3 linked regions of the Caenorhabditis elegans genome follow. The protein of the gene in region 2 interacts with the protein of the main gene of each other region in a pairwise test. Each region holds a gene or a part of one and is shown on either strand. Other genes may lie near its edges. The genes, in order: thum-1, bcmo-1 and brp-1.

Evidence for each region.
Region 1: the proteins of bcmo-1 (region 2) and thum-1 interact in a two-hybrid assay, tested with the Caenorhabditis elegans proteins (one large-scale study listed by BioGRID).
Region 3: the proteins of bcmo-1 (region 2) and brp-1 interact in a two-hybrid assay, tested with the Caenorhabditis elegans proteins (one large-scale study listed by BioGRID).

The regions. Positions count from the first base shown.
Region 1 is NC_003283.11:2,669,934-2,675,354, forward strand, and holds thum-1 (THUMP domain-containing protein), read left to right. Parts: upstream 1-3,052; 5' UTR 3,053-3,067; coding exon 3,068-3,114; intron 3,115-3,162; coding exon 3,163-3,643; intron 3,644-3,696; coding exon 3,697-3,859; intron 3,860-3,918; coding exon 3,919-4,040; 3' UTR 4,041-4,234; downstream 4,235-5,421. Other genes in the region: W02G9.4 (CUB domain-containing protein), read left to right, coding at 1-47, 134-253; kel-8 (BTB domain-containing protein), read left to right, coding at 1,531-1,590.
Region 2 is NC_003280.10:12,828,368-12,834,338, forward strand, and holds bcmo-1 (Beta,beta-carotene 9',10'-oxygenase), read left to right. Parts: upstream 1-2,308; 5' UTR 2,309-2,339; coding exon 2,340-2,549; intron 2,550-2,594; coding exon 2,595-3,425; intron 3,426-3,487; coding exon 3,488-3,659; intron 3,660-3,834; coding exon 3,835-3,938; intron 3,939-3,986; coding exon 3,987-4,104; intron 4,105-4,151; coding exon 4,152-4,306; 3' UTR 4,307-4,350; downstream 4,351-5,971. Other genes in the region: Y46G5A.23 (FIP (Fungus-Induced Protein) Related), read right to left, coding at 223-410, 458-596.
Region 3 is NC_003281.10:12,017,829-12,026,663, reverse strand, and holds brp-1 (uncharacterized protein), read right to left. Parts: upstream 6,113-8,835; coding exon 6,035-6,112; intron 5,348-6,034; coding exon 5,168-5,347; intron 5,111-5,167; coding exon 4,865-5,110; intron 4,521-4,864; coding exon 4,074-4,520; intron 3,136-4,073; coding exon 2,928-3,135; intron 2,875-2,927; coding exon 2,684-2,874; intron 1,797-2,683; coding exon 1,488-1,796; 3' UTR 1,343-1,487; downstream 1-1,342. Other genes in the region: Y79H2A.12 (Serpentine Receptor, class BC (Class B-like)), read left to right, coding at 996-1,105.

The sequences.
Region 1 (5,421 bases), on a different chromosome or scaffold from region 2:
ATACCTCATTTGTCTCGAACAACTTCAAGCGCGGAGTACTACCACAGGTGAGAAAAGATCTAGGCCGGCTTGGAAGCAGGCAGGCATTTTTGTGCCTAGGTACCTAGGGCTTCACTAAAAACTAATCTTTCAGTCCCTGACAACGGATTCAGTGGCGATTCGTCGTGACAAGAACATTCTCGACTGGCTCAAAAAGAAGGCCGAGGAGAAGAAGCTTATTGGAGCTGCTGCAGCACCGGTTATCTCTATCTAGTAGTCCCCCGAAATTCTCAATATGTAATGAATTATTATTTCTTCGCAATTATTTTTTGCCGCTTACTGTATGAAAGTGAAAGGAAAATTAGAAAATTAGTGATGGGGGGGGGGGGGGGGTGATAAGAGAAATCTGGGTTGAAGGGGGAGGGGTAGGGCGATAAAAAGGGAAATTTTAGGAGGAAGAGAAGCTGGTTTTTAAAAAATAAAATTTTTGTTCTATGCCCGGACGCGGGAAAAATTTCACATTGATCTACAGTAGATCATCATCACGGGCTTCTAGTAGCGGTTTTTCGCGCTCCATTGAAAATCGGTGAGCGGAAATTGCAGTTCGGCAAAGGAAGGTTTCAAATTCGGCAATTTGCCATTTTGCCGATTTGCCGGAAATTTTGAATTCCGGCAAATTTCACGATTAGCCGGAAATTTTCAACTCCGGCAATTTGCCAGTTTGCCGATTTGCCGGAAATTTTCAATTCCGGCAACTCCCCGATTTGCCGGAAATTGTCAATTCCGGCGAGTTCCCGATTTGCCGGAAATTTTCTATTCCGCCAGTTTGCCGATGTGCAGGAAATTTTCAATTATGGCAATTTGCCGATTTGCCGGAAATTTTAAATTCCGGCAAATTTGCCAGTTTGTCCTAAATTGTCAATTCCGGCGATTTCTTGATTTGCCGGACATTTTCATTTCCGGTAATGTGCCAATTTGCCGAAAATTTTAAATTCCGGCATTTTGCCGATTTGCCGAAAATTTTCAATTCCGGCAAAAATCGACCCCAGCCGTGGCCGAGTCAAAATGGCCTGAATATAATCAAATGTGCTCCAACGCACCAGCCGACTGTGACGGACATTATTCAGGGCTTGACCTACAGAAATCGTTTGACCTACTGGCGCCTCATTATAAACTCATATGACGTCACAAATTTCAATAATTTCCCGCGCTTTCTGGAGGTCAAAGTGCCCATCCTCAACAAAACATCCCGTTCAGGGTCCTATCCCCAAGTCTCCAGACCCTAAAGCCTACAATCATAAAGCTTGTCACTAAATAATTGCCATGTTTTTGTCTGCCAATCAACTGACTGTCCCCCTCCTGCTGTGGTATATTCAGAAGATACCAGAAGCTGTAACAAAAGACGCAGGACGTACAAGACAGGTTGAGAGAGACACTGTGGGGGCGCAGACACACACAAAAAAATCAGGGGGCGGGAAGTGAATCGAGAGAGGAAGAAGCTGGCATCTAGAATACCAGACTGACAGGCGACACACACCACGAAAAAAAAACATGTGGACCTTCAACAGATCTACCGCGGAGGCGCCAACTATGCCGTCAAGCTCTAATACGGTAGGTGGTAACTATTTTACTTTTTCTGGAATTTCATTTTGTAAGCTACCACGGATTTCTGGCTTCCCTCTCATAAATTGAAATGGAAGAGTTTGCCAAACTAGGCCATTTTGGCTCGGCCATAAGTGGGGTAGATTTACGGCGCGTTGCGTGTCGCGTCGCGGCTCGATTTTAGTTGTAAAACTAAGTCTATTTGTCCGTGTGGAGTACACGATTTTAACACGCGTTGTCCGCCGGGCGATTGTCAATGGAGCGCGAAAAATTCTCTGAGGAAAGACAGAACCCCGTGATTTTGGCCTAAAAATCATTAAAACAGGAAAATTGCCGAAATAACGGGGTTCTACCCTTCCTCATTGAATTTTTTGCGCTCCATTGATAATCGTCCGAAGGAAAACGCGTGGGTAAATCGTGTACTCCACACGGACAAATGCATTTAGTTTTACAACTAAAATCGAGCCGCGGCGCGACACTCAACTCGCCGTAAATCTACCCCAGTAATGGCCGAGCCAAAATGGCCTAGTTTGGCAAACTCTTCCATTTCAATTTATGAGGGTAATCAGAAATTCGTCATTTTGGCCTAAAAACACCAATTTGGCCTAAAAACATTAAAACCACGGGAAATTTGAAACAGGAAAAAAATGGCAAAAAATTCTTGGAAACCGGCGAAATCGGCATAACTAATCCAAAACGTTCGAATGTACTATTTTGCCGCCAAACACCTAGCGGGTCATGGTGCGGGGGCCGAGAATTTCCTATTGGCAGTGGAGCGCGTTTCCACGTGGATTTTTCTGCGTACCCATAATAGCCGCGTCACACAGTTAGTCACCCAATTTACTACCTAATTGCATGGCCTTTGTGTCGGAACTCGTTTTTTTCGTAATGTCGCAACACATGGTACATAGATAAAAATCTCGAGATAACCTATAGTTCAGTTCAAATGTGAAGCAAATTTACTGGTGAATCGGGAAAAAACTGGTAAATTGTTCGGGATATATACTTATTATACATCAAAAATTGCTCGAAAAATTGTGAATTTCAGCTTTTTTTTCAGGAAATATATATTTTCTAGAAGAAGAATACCGGAAAAAGGTGCGGGTCATTTTGCACGCCATCACGAAATTTTCGCAAATTCCAGCGTTTCCGTCAAAATAGTAAATGTATATTCAAAATTTTTTCATCTAATTATCAAGTGAGGCTGCTCTTTTCAAGTTTCGCTGTAAAGAACCGCCTCTTTTTCGTAGTTTGTTTCACATAAAGTGGTGGTGACTCTGCAATTAAAGGTGTGCAAACGCGCTCTGTGGTTACGTGCAAGAGAGAAGAGATTTAGAGAAGTTGGAGGGAATATTAATTGTTTTTTTTTGTTTTTAATTGTTTTTATGTGTTTTTTTCGCATTTTTCGTTGATTTTTCGTTAAAAAACTTCAAAAACAATAATTTTCATTCAAAAATTTCAATTTTTCCAGAAAAAATCACTGAAAATGGCAGATAACGACAGAAAACGAAAGCATAACCGATGGAATCAAAAGTGAGAGCTAAAATTTGAGAAAAAAAAACTATTCTAAGACAATTTCAGAGTTAAACAAAAATCTGTGGAAGCCGGAGTGACCGGACTATTCTTTTCCTGCGAAGGCCACGAAAAGCAGGCCCTACAAGAAGCCTACAGTATTATTGACGAGCTTCTCGAAGACCCGGCGAATGGAATCTCTCTTAAAGCACCAGAAGCTGCTCCACAAGGCTCAGAAGCACCCGGAAATCCAGCAGAAGCTGAAGATTCCGATGAAGACATTGCCGATGCGTTGAAAAAGGCTTGTGATGATCAGAGGCAGCCGAAGCCGGGAAATTTCGTGAAAAAAGAGAGAAGATGCATTCAAAGACCGACGGGAGTGAAGAATTGCATTTTTGTGAGCGTGAAAAACGCGAATATTCAACTTTTAGCCGAAAAAATGGTCGAGCTGACGCAAAAAGCTCCGCGTTGCAGGTTTTTGCAACGAGTTTACCCGGTGGAGCATACTTTAGCTGTGGATCTTTCAAAAATGAATGAAGTTTTGATGAAGGTGCTTTTATTTAATTAAATTAATTAATAAAATAAAAAAAAGTAATTTTTCAGGTAATCTCCGACACATTGAAGGCAGACGGCACTGGCAAACTTCCCACGTATTCCGTGGAATTTAAAGCGAGAAATAACGATTCTGTGGCGAAGAATTCCGTGCTCCAAATGGTCGATGACGCCGTTTGTGCGCTGGCTCCGACTGCGAGAGTTAGCCTAAATCGTTAGTGTCTCTAAAAATCTGAAAAAATTTCAAAAAAATCAAAAAATCAATGATTCCAGACGCCGACGTCACATTCTTCGTTCAAGTATCTCGTACGACAATTATGGTTGGCGTGTGCCGGCAATTTTACGACCGCCGAAAGTATAGTCTTCGTGCGACGCCGGCAGCGGCAGCGACATAAGTCTCTTCTTCGACCTTTTTCCCCCTTTCACCCAGCGCCTCATTGGCTCAGTGGCAGAGCGTCTGTCTAGTAAACAGAAGGTCGCTGGTTCGATTCCAGCATGAGGCACCGAATTTTTTTTGTTTTTTTCATTTGTTCTGTTAAAATACTTTGGCTATTTATTTGTTAAAATACATGAAATTTGAGATTCGATTGTTAATTATTTTTTAAATGCATGGTATCTATAACTGTGACGTGTCAAAAACTCAGGTCGACCCTTGCTCGCGCGCGTCTCATGCACAACCGAGCAAGAAAAAAAACGTGCAACCAACCCGAAAATCTAGCTCACCCGTTCTGCGCACTCCCCAAAATCAACACTATTTCGCTCTCTCGCAGCTCTTCCAAATTGTCAAACAAACCGAGTAGTTACACGCACCCCCCGCCGAAACTCGGGAGCATTCAATCTGGCCTGGTTTTCCAGTATGCTGAAATTTTTTGGACTATTGTAAATTGTTTGTGAAAAAGGTCTCGCCACGAACGAAATATTTTTACAATAATCATTTGTGTGAAATGCTGTGCGTCTTTTTACCCGTTTATTGCAATTTTCACATGGTGTCAGGTTGTCCCATAACGGTTTGATCTACAAAAAATGCGGGATTTTTTCCACCAAAAAATGTGACGCCATCTGCACGTTCTTAACCATGCAAAATCAATTGAGAAGTCTGCGTCCAAATTCCCGCATTTTTGTAGATCAAACCGTTATGGGGCATTCTGACACCACGTGATTTTTCTGAAATTCTCTTAATTTTACGCCAAAAATACGGTACCCTGGTCTCGACACGACAAATTTCTGTCAAATGCGAATAGGTGTGCGCTTTTAAGGAGTACTGTAGTTTGGAACTTTCGTTGCTGCCGGATTTTCGTCGATTTTTATAGCTTTTCGATAAAAATTCAACTACAAAAAACCTATAAAAAACGATTACAACCCCGCCGCCGCATTGAAATTTTAAAACTACAGAACTCTTTCGCATTCAACAAAAATTTGTCGTGCCGAGACCAGGGCACAGTATTCTTGGCGCAAAAATTACAAAATGTCGGTTTTGGGTAATATTCTGCAGACTGAAATTTTGGCGCATGCATAACATAGTTGACGCGCAAAATATATCTCGTAGCGAAAACTACAGTAACCCCTTAAATGACTACTGTAGCGCTGGTGTGTCGATTTACGGGCTCCATTTCCGAGTCTATAGAATATTAAAATCCAGTAGATTTTTTTCGAAAAGAAAATCATTTTAAAAAATCGAGCCCGTAAATCGACACAAGCGCTACAGTAGTCATTTAAAGAGTTACTGTAGTTTTCGCTAAGAGATGTTTTGCGCGTCAAATATGCTGCGCAGTACGC
Region 2 (5,971 bases):
TTTTAAATCGAAAAAACGATAAATAAGATATAAGCTATCAAAGTTGGGGTGCAATACTAACAGAGGGAATACGGTACCAAAAAGAAATATTTTAGTTCTTTCACAATACTGCAAGGTTCCGGTCAAATACAAAATCAAGAGAAATTGTAGAATTGACATATTTGCAGTTATCAAAAATTTATACTAAAAAAATACGACTTCATTTCCCTTATAACAGTTCAATTATTGAGGTCTCTCGGCGCCAATTACCATCCCACGTCCTCCACCACCACCTCGATGACCACCATGTCTGTGTCCTCCACCTCCATGACGATGACCTCTGTGATGACGGCGACCTCCACCACCACCGCCGCCACCCAAAACTTGGCCGATCAGCACGACTTGTTGCTCACCTCCGTCTTCGCAAGAATCTGAAATATTCAAAAATTAGAGCATCAAAGGACTAAAAAATGCTCACCTCCTCCACCACCACCACCAAGCACAATACCACCATCATTTCCATAATCATCATCGTCGCAGTCTTCAGAATGATCAAATGTGATACTACTGCTGACGATGGCCACCAGGAAAATCGAAAACAAAAGTAAATGCTTCATTTTTCTGCAAAATATCGAGCGCTGAGAGCAGTTTTATAGCCAACCTCCGCAATATGGAGTTGTAAAATGTATGTTTTTTTGAAAGAATAGGTTTTTCTTTCTATGTATCTTGGAATCAGCGGAACAGTTGTTAAATGATGACGATTTATTGCACTTTGAATTTTTTCAGAAAAATATTGATATAAGATTCTGAGAAGTAAGAACACGACCTTCTCGACCAGAAACTTTGATATTTGAGCTTTTTCACAACATCATTCTTTACCTCCTTGTCCCTACAGGCACCCGTGACTCCCAAGGCCATCTCGCCCACCTCTGCCTGAAACCGCCAGCTCCACCAAGGCCATCTGTTGAACGATCAAGTTTAAGCTTTTTGAAACATCTCTCATCATCACCAGTGACTAGTGCAAAGTTATTGCAGATCGATTCGGATAATAATACCATCAGAAGCAACGAACACATCAGTTTTGTGGCTTTTTAAATGCTCCTCCATGAGTTGCATAATATTTTTTAATGCATTTTCATGACAGAAAAGAAAAAAAATTCTAGTAAAAAATATGTGGTAATGAATAGGTTTGTTCTATTTCTATGAAAATTGATGAAGCAAGCAAAAGATTTCTATCTATGCACTAAACTATTGTGTACCATTTACGATATTAAAACACATATGGGGGATTAATGAAAGATATATGTATAACGTATACAAATACTTGCTGCGAAGTATCAAAAATGAAAAATAAAAATACCGTTCAATATGATGAAACCCCCAAGTGCCTCGAAAATCGTTTAAAACTTATAAATAAAACAAGTATTTTTAAATTTAAAAGAAAACAATGACATACAGTGTATTTTTTCCACTTCTACGACTTTAAAGGGGGCGCATTTACGCGCGATGGTCCCGGCATTGGTCTCGCCACGCACCCCAAAAATCAATGGGTGGCGCGTGTCGAGACCATCGCGCATAAATGCGCCCCCTTTAAAGTCGTAGAAGTGGAAAGAAAAATGCACTGTATTCAAATTGCCATGTATATTTTTATTATATAACTCTAAACAATTTTTAGCAAATGCTCAGAAATTGTTTTTCCCGAAAAGAAAACTTGATCCGCTGATACTGTAAAGTTGACCTAAAATAAATTAACATTTCAAAACTAATTTGTTGTGGGAAAAAGCCAGAAATTTTAACAACGATTTTTCGAAATATATATGTACATAACAAGAAAAAAATGAATCACAGGAAAAAAAACCGAATTTAAGTCATTTATGTGCTAGGGAATTCAAGCATAATTCAGCCGTTGTATTTGCTTACTATTGTTGACAAATTTAAATAATCAAAAAAAAAGTTTAGAAAAATTTCATAACTTTTTAAAATGTGATATTTTTTGGTGTCATTTATGTCAAAAATCCTAAGGATGAGATTTGTTGAGCACCTAAAACAAAGTCGACATACATATGAACACAAACAACAATTTTCCTCTTGTTTTCAAAAATTCGATCTCCCATTTCAAAAACTCATCACAAACTCCTTTGTGATAATGTCTGCCGTCTCCAATCTCTTTCTATGGACACAATGTGTCCGGTTACTGTATAACTGTCTGTTTCTCTTGAAACAAGGGTACTACATTGTGTTTGTAGTTAAAAAATAATATAGTGGGAGATAAGATTTAGGTGTATATAAAGAAGTAAAAAATTGTGTGAACTAACTCTATATTTTCTTTTCATTTTGTTGACATTTTATTGTTCTAAAAAATGGAAGCTGAAGGATTCCCCCGTCTATTCCACAACTTTGAGAATGTCCCAGAACCCAAAGAGTGCAAAAAAGTTGGCTCAGTGCCAAGTTACCTAACGGGAACAATGCTTCGTAATGGTCCAGGAATGTTCACCGTTGGAGAGGAAGAATACAAGCATTGGTTCGATGGACTCGGTTTTATGCAGAGATATCATTTTGAGGATGGAAAGGTAGGAAACTGTAAAATATATTCTAAAAATGTGCCAACATTCCAGATGTTCTACTCAGCTCGATACCTGGAATCGGAAGCCTACACCAAGACTGTGGAAGCGCAGAGAATAGTGGCTGGAACATTTGGTACTCTAAGCTTCCCGGACCCATGCAAGACTATTTTCTCGAAATACTTTTCGGAATTCATGAATCACTCAGAGAAACATGACAATTCCAACGTGGCATTCACTCCGGTTGGGGATTCGTTGTATGCGTGCACAGAGACACCACACATGTATCGAGTTGATTTGGATACGCTGAAGACTTTGGAAGCAGCTGATTTTTCGAAATTCGTTGCAGTCCACTCTTGCACCGCCCATCAACTTTATGATGAAAACGGGGACGTCTACAATATTGGATCCCGATTTGGACCTGAATCTGCACATGTCTTCACTGTTACTAAGAACCCGAAGAATCAGAAATCCGAAAACGATCACTCCTGGGAGCATACTTCAAAGATCGGAGAGATCAAGGCATCTGACCCCCTATACCCCACATATATGCACTCATTTGGAATGTCAGAAAACTATTTAGTGATGTTCGAGTCGCCTGTACGGCTTCATCTTCAGAAGTATCTGTTGAGCGAGTTTGTTCGTGCAACCTACCATGACTGCTTGGAATGGCATGGTGATAAGGATGTGAGCATTTTCATTTTGAACAAGAAAACTGGAGAGCAACTACCGCTGACGCTGAAAATGAATCCATTCTTTACATTTCATCATGCCAACACTTTCGAGAAAGATGGATGTCTAGTGATGGATTACTGTAGAATTGAAAATGCAGGGAAGTTCGATACATTGCTGATAAGTAACATGAAGACCGGAGAATTTCAATATGTAAGTTTAAACATTAACCACCTTAAAATAACGAGATATGATCCCAATGAAAACATTTCCAGGACGCGAAATTCCTGCCATACCTCACACGTGTCATAGTTCCAATGTCAGTTTCAAGTTCCGCAAAACCTGGAGACAATCTCCTCAAGTCTGTACCCTGGGCGAGTGGATGTACATCAATTCTTCAGGATGACGGATCGATAAGGCTTACAGAGAGACGGGTTTGCGAGACTTGTAAGTTTTATTAAAATATTTGAGGCTGTGTGATGCCTTTTAAAGATCCCAACTGTGGAACCTCTTTGGAATGTTTCGAAACTTTCCAAAATCTAGTAAATTGAAGTAACGTAACTTTAATATTACAGAAAAATTTTGTTTTCTTACGAACCACAAAAAATCCTGAAATTTTCAGCCATGGAATTCCCTCGCTATCATTGGGAAAAAATCAACATGAAAGAATATAGATACGTCTTCGGATCCACTGTTTTTGGAAGAATTGATGGAAATCTCGCTGGGGTTGGTATTTTCAAAAAAAATTTCTAAGCAAAATCAATATAAATTCAGGTTGTCAAAGCTGACTTGAAATTCGGAAACCACTTGATTTGGAATCGCGAGAACCCGCATCAAATCTGCGGGGAGCCCATTTTTGTCCCAAATCCCGAGGGCATCGAGGAGGATGATGGTAGGCAATTTAAAGAGGATCTACTTATAAAAAGTTTTTTTTTTCAGGAATTCTGATTGTTCCAATTATGTCCAGTTCTGAAAAACAAGTCCCATTTGTGCTGATTTTGGACGCAAAAACTCTAGAGGAAACAGCAAGATTTGAGATTCCAGAGGCCAGAATTCCACTTGGATTTCATGCTTTTTACAAACCCAAGAATTGAATACTGTACCTAATGTATAAATATGATAATTAATAAAATTGTTTCAATATGCATGTAGACTGTTACCGTACATTTTTTGATGTACGGATGTACGGGAAGATTTTTGTAGGGTTACTGTATGATCAATGTAGTACATTGATCATACCAGTACTAGAAATTGACTCTGATGTATCCACTGAAAATCATTTATTTAAAAATCACAAACGAGTTATTTATGTAAATCCATTTCCAAAAAAATTGTTCACACTGGCCCATAGCCTGGCTCTTGACTCTTAAACTCTTCTTCTCCGGGCTCAAACGATGGGAGTTGTGCTCCGACACTCCGCTTCTCTTCTGACCAGCCTCTCGAGATTCTTGGGTAGGATGGATGGCTCTTTTGGAGCAAGAACATCCCGCGAATCGGCTGAAAATTGCAGTTTTTTGTTGAAGTGCCAAAAATTCGAAAAAAAAACGCTTACAATTCCACGCTTTTTGAAATCCATATAAGTGCACAACGCAATTACCGGGACCATCATAAACGGAAACACTGCCAAAAGCCATCCGACGATCTGAAGGTAAAAAAAAAAGTTTCTTTAATTGATGAGCATGTCCTCACATCAAAAACAACTGGATAAACAGCTGATTCTCCTTTGAACGGATAGCCTCGGTTAGCCGTCAAAAAGATCAATACACATCCAAAAATCGGCATAATGAACATCCAATTGAATCCATAATACGGGCTGTTGTGGCCGAAAATGTTTGAAATTCGCGTTCCACGACCCAACATTGACGCGATATCCGCCCGGAAGTTTCGCATTCCATAGATGTAGGAAATGATAATGCACATAGAGGTAGCCGATATCAACGCTCCGAATCCTGAGCCATACTCGTCAAAGAGCGCGAACCAGTAGATTCCAGCCTGGAAAATGTGAGAAGAATTTGAACTGTCTGAGGCATTATGGCTAATGTTTAAACTTACGTCAGTTGTCAGGATGACACCACACAAGAAAAGAAGGAAACAGACTCCAATCACCACGAAGACTCGTTTCTCGCGAAGTCGAGGAAACTTGTCACAAAGGCACGTGCACATCACCTCGACAATAACTGCAAAAAACTTTATAAAGCGCTTCTTGGACGCCCATGTCTAGTACGCAGCAGACATCGATTGGGGTCCAGCGGCGGACCCGTGAAATGTCGGCCGCCTAACAGATGAACAGTACCCACCAAGCAACGTACTAATCCCCAACAAGAACAACATAAAGAAGAAGAGGAAACTCCACAGCCCGGGAAACGGCATTTGATTCATTGCATCCGGGTAGGCGATAAATGCAAGCGTCGTTCCATCCGTCACGACTTTATCTACAGTAACTCCACGTTCTCGGGCCAAATACCCAAGTGTTGAAAAAACAGCGGCTCCACCGATTAAGGACATGGCAGTGTCGCCTATTATTAGGAAAATAGCATCCTAAATCATTTGATTCATCAATTGCTACAAAAAAAACCGCTACAACTAACCCGAAAGCATCGATGATTCTGTTTGTTATAGGATGCAGTATTCATGAGAACACCAAAACCAATTGACAAAGAGAAGCACAATTGAGTCAGCGCAGCGCTCCAGGTTTTAAAGTTGTATAGTGCCACCCAATCCGTTCTTGCCAAAAAATACTTGAGCCCATCACCGGCGCC
Region 3 (8,835 bases), on a different chromosome or scaffold from region 2:
ATTCCGGCAATTTACAGATTTGCCGGAAATTTCAACATCGGCAACTTGACAATTTTCGGGAAAGTTCAATTCCGGCAATTTGCCAGAAATTTCAATTTCGCCCTTTTCCCGATTTGCCGGAAATTTAAATTTCGCCATTTTGCCGATTTGCCGGAAATTTCAATTTCGCCATTTTGCCGATTTGCCGGAAATTTAAATTTCGCCATTTTGCCGATTTGCCGGAAATTTAAATTTCGCCCTTTTCCCGATTTGCCGGAAATTTCAATTCCGGAAATTTACAGATTTGCCGGAAATTTCAACATCGGCAACTTGACAATTTTCGGGAAAGTTCAATTTCGCCCTTTTCCCGATTTGCCGGAAATTTCAATTTCGCCATTTTGCCGATTTGCCGGAAATTTCAATTTCGCCATTTTGCCGATTTGCCGGAAATTTCAATTCCGGCAATTTACAGATTTGCCGGAAATTTCAACATCGGCAACTTGACAATTTTCGGGAAAGTTCAATTTCGCCCTTTTCCCGATTTGCCGGAAATTTCAATTTCGCCATTTTGCCGATTTGCCGGAAATTTCAATTTCGCCATTTTGCCGATTTGCCGGAAATTTCAATTCCGGCAATTTACAGATTTGCCGGAAATTTCAACATCGGCAACTTGACAATTTTCGGGAAAGTTCAATTCCGGCAATTTGCCAGAAATTTCAATTTCGCCCTTTTCCCGATTTGCCGGAAATTTCAATATCGCCATTTTGCCGATTTGCCGGAAATTTCAATTTCGCCATTTTGCCGATTTGCCAAAATATCGAAAATGACGTCACTCATTTGCGCGGGAATTCAAATGTTTCAAATTTAATTCGGTCGTTTCTATGAATTTTGAAATATGTAAAAATTCACTAAAAGTTTAGGACATTTTTGAAAAAATTTTCACAGTCATATTTGGTCATATATTCTAGGCGTATATTCTGTAATTTAAAGCGAAAAATTGTTTAAAAATTTTTCAGTATCAATAATCAAATTCATTCTAATCAATCGATGTTACGTCTATGCAAAACGAATCGAGAATGGGATGCTGGTTAGACAGTCGGATTTAACAAATGTGATGAAGTTTTGAAAGTTCCTTGGAAACACGTGGTGCCAGGCTGTCCCACCACGGTTTGATCTACAAAAAATGCGGCAATTTTTTGCCAAAAAAAGTGTGACGTCAGCACGTTCTTAACCATGCGAAATCAGTTGAGAACTCTGCCGCATTTTTTGTAGATCTACGTAGATCAAACCAACATGGGACACTCTGACACCACACGTTCTGAAATAAATACTTTTTTTTTCTTGATTTGCAAATACAAATTCAACAGCGAATAATTTTATTTACAAACCTGCACGCGTAAAAGATGGGATGATGATGATGATGGAAAATAATCGGGGGAGGACGAATTGTATAACAATTATTACATTCGAAAATTATTTTTTTTTAGCTCAGCTCAAAATTAAAATTCTCAAACAATCAGTGGTTTCAATGGTTTCTGAGTGGTTGCTGCTGTCTCAGCCCCTGCTGCCTCGAGAGCCTCACGTGGTGGATTGTTCTCGAAGAATTTGAGAACAGCTGCGAATGGATCCAACTCCTTCTCATGATTATCTTCAGATGATGTATGTTCAGCATCTTCTTCAGATTCCATTGGTTCAGGTGTTGTGGTGCGTTCTTCGATTCTTGGGAAGCTGTCCTCAATCACAATTGCTCCCTTTCCTTCGAGTTCTGGCTCTTCGGTGGTTGATGGGGTGGCTGAGTTGAGCTCTTTGTTGGCCGCCTGGAATATTACTCATTATGCCTCAGTGAGCACAAAACAGGGGTGGGCCGGAAATTGCCGTTCGGCAAATTTGGCAAATTGCCGGTTTGTCAATTTGCCGGAAATTTTGATTTTCGGAAAATTGCTGATTTGCCGTTTACCGAACATCAATTTGCCGGAAATTTTTAGAGAAATTTTTTATAAGACGGAAACACTTGCCTTTTTGAAATTCAAATTTTTGCCGGTTTGCCGATTTGCCAGAAATTTTAATTCCGGCAAATTGTGGTTTTGCACTTTTTTTTGGCAATTTCAGAACTTCAGAATTACAATATTAGTCGGCAAAATTGTACCGTGCCGACTATATATAAATAAACAATCTTTCTAAACACTTCCGGCAAATTGATATCCGGCAACTCGGCAAACCGGCAGAGAGCCGGAATTGAAATTTTCGGCAAATAGGTGAATTGCCCGAATTAAAACTTTTGGCAAATCGGCAAACTGCTGGAACCAGATCCGCAAATTGCCTGAACTTAAATTTTTGACAAATTGCCGAAATAGAAAATTTCCTGCAAATCGGCAAACTGGCAAAGTGCCGAAAATGAAAATTTCCGGAAAATTGGCAAACTGCCGGTATTGTAATTTCCGGTCAATCGGAAAATCGACAGATTGCCGGAACTCAAACTTCCGGCAAATTGGCAAATTGCCGGAATTGAAAATTTTCGGCAAATTGGCAAACCGGCAAGTTGCCGAAATAGAAAATTTCCTGCAAATCGGCAAACTGGCAAAGTGCCGAAAATGAAAATTTCCGGCAAATCGGCAAAATTTCCGGCAAATCGGCAGCAAATTGGTAAACCGGCGATTCGCCGATTTGCCGATTTGCCGAACCAACATGTTCCTGATGTACAAACCTCTGAATTCTTTTGCTCATCGAAAGCTGAGAAGATATCTCTGAGAATAGTATCAGAAACCTCAGCGGCATCCTCTGGCATTGGTGTGCTGCTCGTGACAACTGCTGGGAATGCAGTGTTGATGGGTGAAGCTGTGACGTCAGCAGTTCCAGATGCAGCTTCTGGAGCTGGAGTTGGAGTGATTGCTGTCCCTGATACAAGATTAATTGAAATTTTTGGGCTTTTTGCAAAAAAAACAACTAACAGATTTGACGAGTTGGTGCGTTGACTGGAATGTTCTGCGACTTCTTCTGAAGTTCCTCGTAGATCTTATCGTGAACTGATGGTTGTGGGATTGGTTGGAAGAATTGTGGAGCCTGTGGGAAACGGTCCTCAGGTTGTTGGGTCTGTTGTGGTTGCTGCTGATGCTGCTGTTGTTGTTGGGATGGGAAGAAGAATTGTTGGGGTGGTTGCTGGAATTTTTTTGATGGTTTTTTGACAAAAAAAATAGTGAAAATTTTTATCGGTTTCAGATCCCGAAAACTAAGCAAAAAACAGAGGTGGGCGGCAAACGATTTTTTTCGGCAAGCCGGCGAATTGCCGGAATTCACAATCTCTGGCTTATCGGCAAGTTGCCGGAATTAAGATTTTCCGGCACACCGGCGAAGTGCCGGAACTGAAATTTCCGGCAAGTCGACAAACTGCCGGAATTGAAAATTTCAGGCAAATCGGCAAATTGCAGGAATTGATAACTTCCGGCACATCAGCAAATTGCCGATATTAAAAATTTCCGGCAAATCGACAAACTGCCGGAATTGATAATTTCAGGCAAATTGCCGGAATTAAAAATTTCATGCAAATTGACAAATTTCCGGAATTGAAAATTTCCGGCAAATCGACAAACTGCCGGAATGGAAAATTTCCGGCAAACCGGCGAACTGCCGGAATTCATAATTTCAGGCAAATCTAAAAATTGCCGGAATTGAACATTTCCGGCAAATCGGCAAATTGCCAAAATTTACAATTTCCGGCAAATCTGCAAAATGCCGGAATTGATAATTTCAGGCAAATCGGAAAACTGTCGGAATTGAAAATTTCAGGCGAATCGGCAAATTACCGGAATTGGAAATTCCCGGAAAACCGACAAGTTGCCGGAATCAAAAGTTTCCGGCAAATCGGCTAACCGGCAAATTGCCGATTTTCAGTTGCCAATTTACTCAAAAAAAATTTGCCGAACTGCAATTGCCGCCCACCCCTGATCCAAATACGACGAAAAATTTTCGAAGTTTTTTGAAAAAAATTATGAAAAAAAAAAGCAAAAATTCAAATTTTTCAAAATGGAAAATGTGTCTAAAATCCAAATGCCAAAAAATTCGTAGCCCATCATCTAAAAATCTACAAATCGCCTTACCTGCCAGACAGTTGGTCTCTCCCATTGTTGCTGATGCATCATTGGTCTTGGCCAGAATCTCTGTCTCTGCTGCTCCTGTGGCTGTTGCTCCTGCTGTTGCCATTGGGCCTGGGCCTGAGCCTGCTGAGTCTGAGCCTGCATCTCCAACTGATGTTGTTGCCAGAAAGCTTGAGCACGCTGCTGTTGAGCATAGGTCTGTTGAGCCTCGTACTGACGACGTTGTTCCTCTTCATAGCGGGATCTCTCGGCCCATTGCTGACGGGCGGCCTCTTCCTGCATCTGTTGCTGTTGTTGTTGCATGTAGGCCATCTTCATTTGTTGTTGTTGGTAGTAGGCGGCTTGAAGTCTTCTCATTCTCATCATTCGCATTGCCATCATTTGTTGCATGTACATACGTTCCTCCATTATTTGTTGGAATTGTTGGCGGGCCTCCATCATTCGGTATTGCTGAAAAAATTGCTTTTATTGATTTATTAGACTCAAAATTGTCTGAAAATATCGAATTTCTTAATGAAACTTCTTAAAAACCTCTTGAAAAAAAAGTTATGGCAGCTCAAAAAATGGCCTAAAATTTTTAAAGCAGTTTAGCTGGCTTGAGGCGGGTAGGCATTCCCTTCAGGCAGGCCCTGGAACCGCGCCTGTCTATGGAAGCCCTACATATGCATATATATATATATATATATATATATATATATATATATATATATATATATATATATATATATATTTATATATATATATATATACAAATCCATATTTATGTATATATATGGTATAATTTGGTAACTAACCTCAATCTCATCTGGATGAAGTGGGCGATCCAAATTGGTAGAGGACTTCTCCTCAACTGATCCATCAACAGTTGTCTTCTTTTGACCTTCATTATTCGAAATATCCTCCACTACAACTACCCGAGCCAAGGGAATTGCCATCATTCCTGGATTTTCCGCAGAGTTTATAGTCTTTTCAGATGATCCATCAATTGGTTGAGCTAGAAGTGCCTCCATTTGTGGCTTGTTCACGGATGTTTCGGTTTTCTGGAATATCAATTAATTAAGTTTAAAAAAGCTTAAAATTAAAAAAAAACCCTGTACCTTGAAGAGATCAGGAGTAGCGGCGAGGAAGTAGAAACCGATGAGTGTCACCAGCAAAAGACACGTGGCAAAGAACATGCAATGGAAGCATGCTCTCATCGCCTGGAAAGCTGGCGATGGAGCAGGCTTCATTGGTGGAGCCGGCATTGGGATCACTGTGGGCTGGAGGACTGTGAACACCTGGAATAATTCAGATTTTGTTGATATTTCTACTAACGTTATTATTATTATTGTTACCGAATATATTCTTTGTGAGAAAATTTGAATTTCGCGCCAAAAAATGTTCTCAGAAAATTTGAATTTCGCGCCAAAAATTATTCTCGGATAATTTAAATTTCGCGGCAAAATACGTTTTCTCATAAAGTTTGAATTTCGAGTCAAATGTATTTTCTCATAAAACTTTAAATTAGCGCCAAAAAAATTTCTAATAAAATTTGAACTTCGCGCCAATATACGTTTTCTCAGAAAATTTGATTTTCCAGCTAAAATTTTTTTGTGAAAAATTTTGAATTTCGAGGCAAACTGTTTTTACACGTGGTGCCGGGCTGCCCCATCACGGTTTGATCTACAAAAAATGCAGGAACTTTTTTGCCCAAAAAACATGACGTCAGCCATGTTCTTAACCATGCGAAATCAGCTGAGAAGCCTGCGTCTGAAATCCCGCATTTTTTGTAGATCTATGTAGATCAAGCCGAAATGGGACACTCTGACACTACGACTTGTTACTCATAAAATTTGTAATTCGCGCCAAAACGTGATCTCTTAAAAAAAATTCGAATTTCCAGCTGAAATTTTTTTATGAGAAAATTTGAACTTCGCACTAAAAACAGTTCTCAGAAAATTTGAATATTTTTAATAGAAACTCACTTTTGGATCGATCTTGATAGACTCCTTCTCAACGTCCTCACTCCCGTGAACGCCGGGCTGTGCGCCTAGTTTGGTCATCTGTAAATGATTCTTGATTAGATATTCGAGTAAAAGACAAAAACAAAAAAAAGAGAAGAGATCAATGCGCACAATAGGAGAATTAGAGAAGCGGCTCACTTTCTCTCGCGGAGCATTAAACATTTTTGACAGGTTGGCATTCACGACTCTTCCGCGCGGTGTAGGAAAATGAACAAAAAATGATCTCCCGATGTTTTGATAGGAAGTGACACCAAGTTTTGAAGAAACACACAAAACGAGTTTTTAAAATAGCCGGCCACTTGGTTACTGTACACTTGAGAGAGGAATGACGTCATTCGTTTTTGTTTTTGACCAGAAAATCTCGATCAGATGATGATAAAGATTTCTGTGAAAAATTTTAAAATGATAAAGGATACTTTGATTTTTGATTTCTTTTCCATTTTTTGCAGCAAGGGTTTAAGGGCAGAGTATAATATACAAAGTTTGATGGTTCAGGTAAAAATAGGTAGGATGTGTTAATTCAAATGCGGAGGGTTTATTTTTCTCTTATTATAAATATTAATGTGCCTGCATACAAGGTGGAGTACGGCCTAAAATGAACAAATATCATAGTAAAGCTATTAATATAATTTCGGAACATTTTTCATTTTGAGTTAAAAAAAAAGTTCTGATTCCAGTTTTATGCTTTAATTATTTTTGAAATATTCATACATGCTGCAGATTCTTCGAAAAAATGTCTACATTTTTTTGAAATGTTTTAGTATGATTTTTGGTATTTTTAGCGCTCTGCATGATTTTTAAAAAATGTGAGTTATAATAATTTTTTTTGTAAATTTTGTGATTTTTAGTTAGTTAAACTCATATCGAGAACTGTCTTAAAACGAAAAAATTGGTGAGAAAAAGCCCGTTTGCTCTAAAAAATATTCATTTAGAACTAGTATTGGTGGGCGGCAAACTGCCGGTTTGCTGATATTCCGGAATTTTCGATTTTCGGCAAATTTCCGATTTGCCGGAAGTTTTTAGAGGGCTTTTTTATGAGACTGATAGTGAAACACGAAATTTCGAACAAAAAAAAAATGCAAAACCACAATCTGTCCGACAATTGCCGTTTTTCTGGAAAATGCGGCAAATCGGCAATTTGCCGGTTTACCGACTTGCTGAAAATTTCAATTCCGGCAATTCGCCAATTTGGCGGAAAAATTATTTACCGCCCAACCCTGATACATGCAACACTAACAGGGAAGTATGTATATACAGAAGTTTACGATACATACCGTATTTCCTCTATTAGTTTTGCACCCGCTTGCTCAACTTTGACAGCTCATATCTCAGTAGTTCTTTGTTCCATAGAAAAGTTGTCAACTGATAAAATTTTTGTGAGATGTTTTTCTATAGTTTGTAGTTTGTTAATTATTTATATGTTCAAAACAAAATGAGATATGAGCTGTCAAAGTTGAGCAAAGGGGTGCAAAACTAAAAGAGGAAATACGGTATATTCCAAATTATTTTTGTCCTATTATAAGTTATTATCGGTTTTTAATGTGGTTGCCACAATTTTAAATATTCTCCGATCAGAATTACAGTATTCCCCTCCCCCCCCCCCCACCTACGCTTGCCTACTTATTTTATTATTTCTTATTTCTCCCCCACTCTTGTGGGGGCACTCTTGTGGGGGCAGAGTCTCCTCCACCTTACTCAATTGACCGTTTCAAATGTCTTTCATTTTTCACATGAAAGAAAATTGTTGAAGGTTACCCTTATATTTTGACAAAAACATCACCTTCAACTGGCAAAAGAACAGAGTAGAAACGGTTCCACTTTGGGGGTTCAAGGTTAGGTTTTGTCTCGTATTGGAGGAAAATAACAGAACAAAAAAAAATATTTAGATGGAATTTGAAAATGTTTAGGTTTTTTATGAAATTTTGCAATTTTCAATAGACCAACAAAAGAGTTAATACGGTATTTACTTACTTATCAAATCCTATTACTATAAGGGATGTTACTATTTGAGGAGCATAATATTTAGTTTACCGTATTAGTATTCCCCCCCCCCCCCCAATTGTTCAACTTTGACAGCTTATATCTCAGTTATAGTTAGTTCTATTTAAAAATTGTCAACTAACAAAATATTTGTTAGCTCGTTTTCTATAATTTCTTGGTTAACAATATATTGATATCATTAAAATGAACCAAGATATAACGTTTCAAAGTTAAATAGTCGGGTGCAATACTAATAGAAGAAAAACGGTAAGTTGGATGGCCAACGTTAAGCATTAAAGGGTAAGATGAAAAAGTGGTAACTAAAAAACTAGTTTCAAAAGAAAATTATTTAAAAACGTCCTTCCCCCATGAAAATAATTGAAACAAGGTAAAATTGAAAAAGAGAAGAAGAATCGAATGCGTCTCGACGCCCCGGGGGCGTCCAAAGTGAAAAAAGAAGAGGTCAGTTGGCGAAGAAAGGAAAAAGTGGGCGGAGTCTTTATCACACAGGTCTTTGGCAACGATTTTTGGAAGAGAGGGGGGGGGGGGGAAATAATACAATAATTTCAGTGAAATCTAAAGAAAACCAGTTATGAGAGGTGTTGGAGGAATTGCAATGTTCAAGGGCTCTTGGTGTTAAGGTAAATATGGTGCTTGCTCACAGAAAAAACGAGTTTATTTTATTTATTTAAAATTTTTGAAAAAGTATTGGAGGAAATCATATATGGCTCTAAAGAAATCGTTTTCTTCCGGCAAGCGACAAATCGGCAATTTGCAGAAAA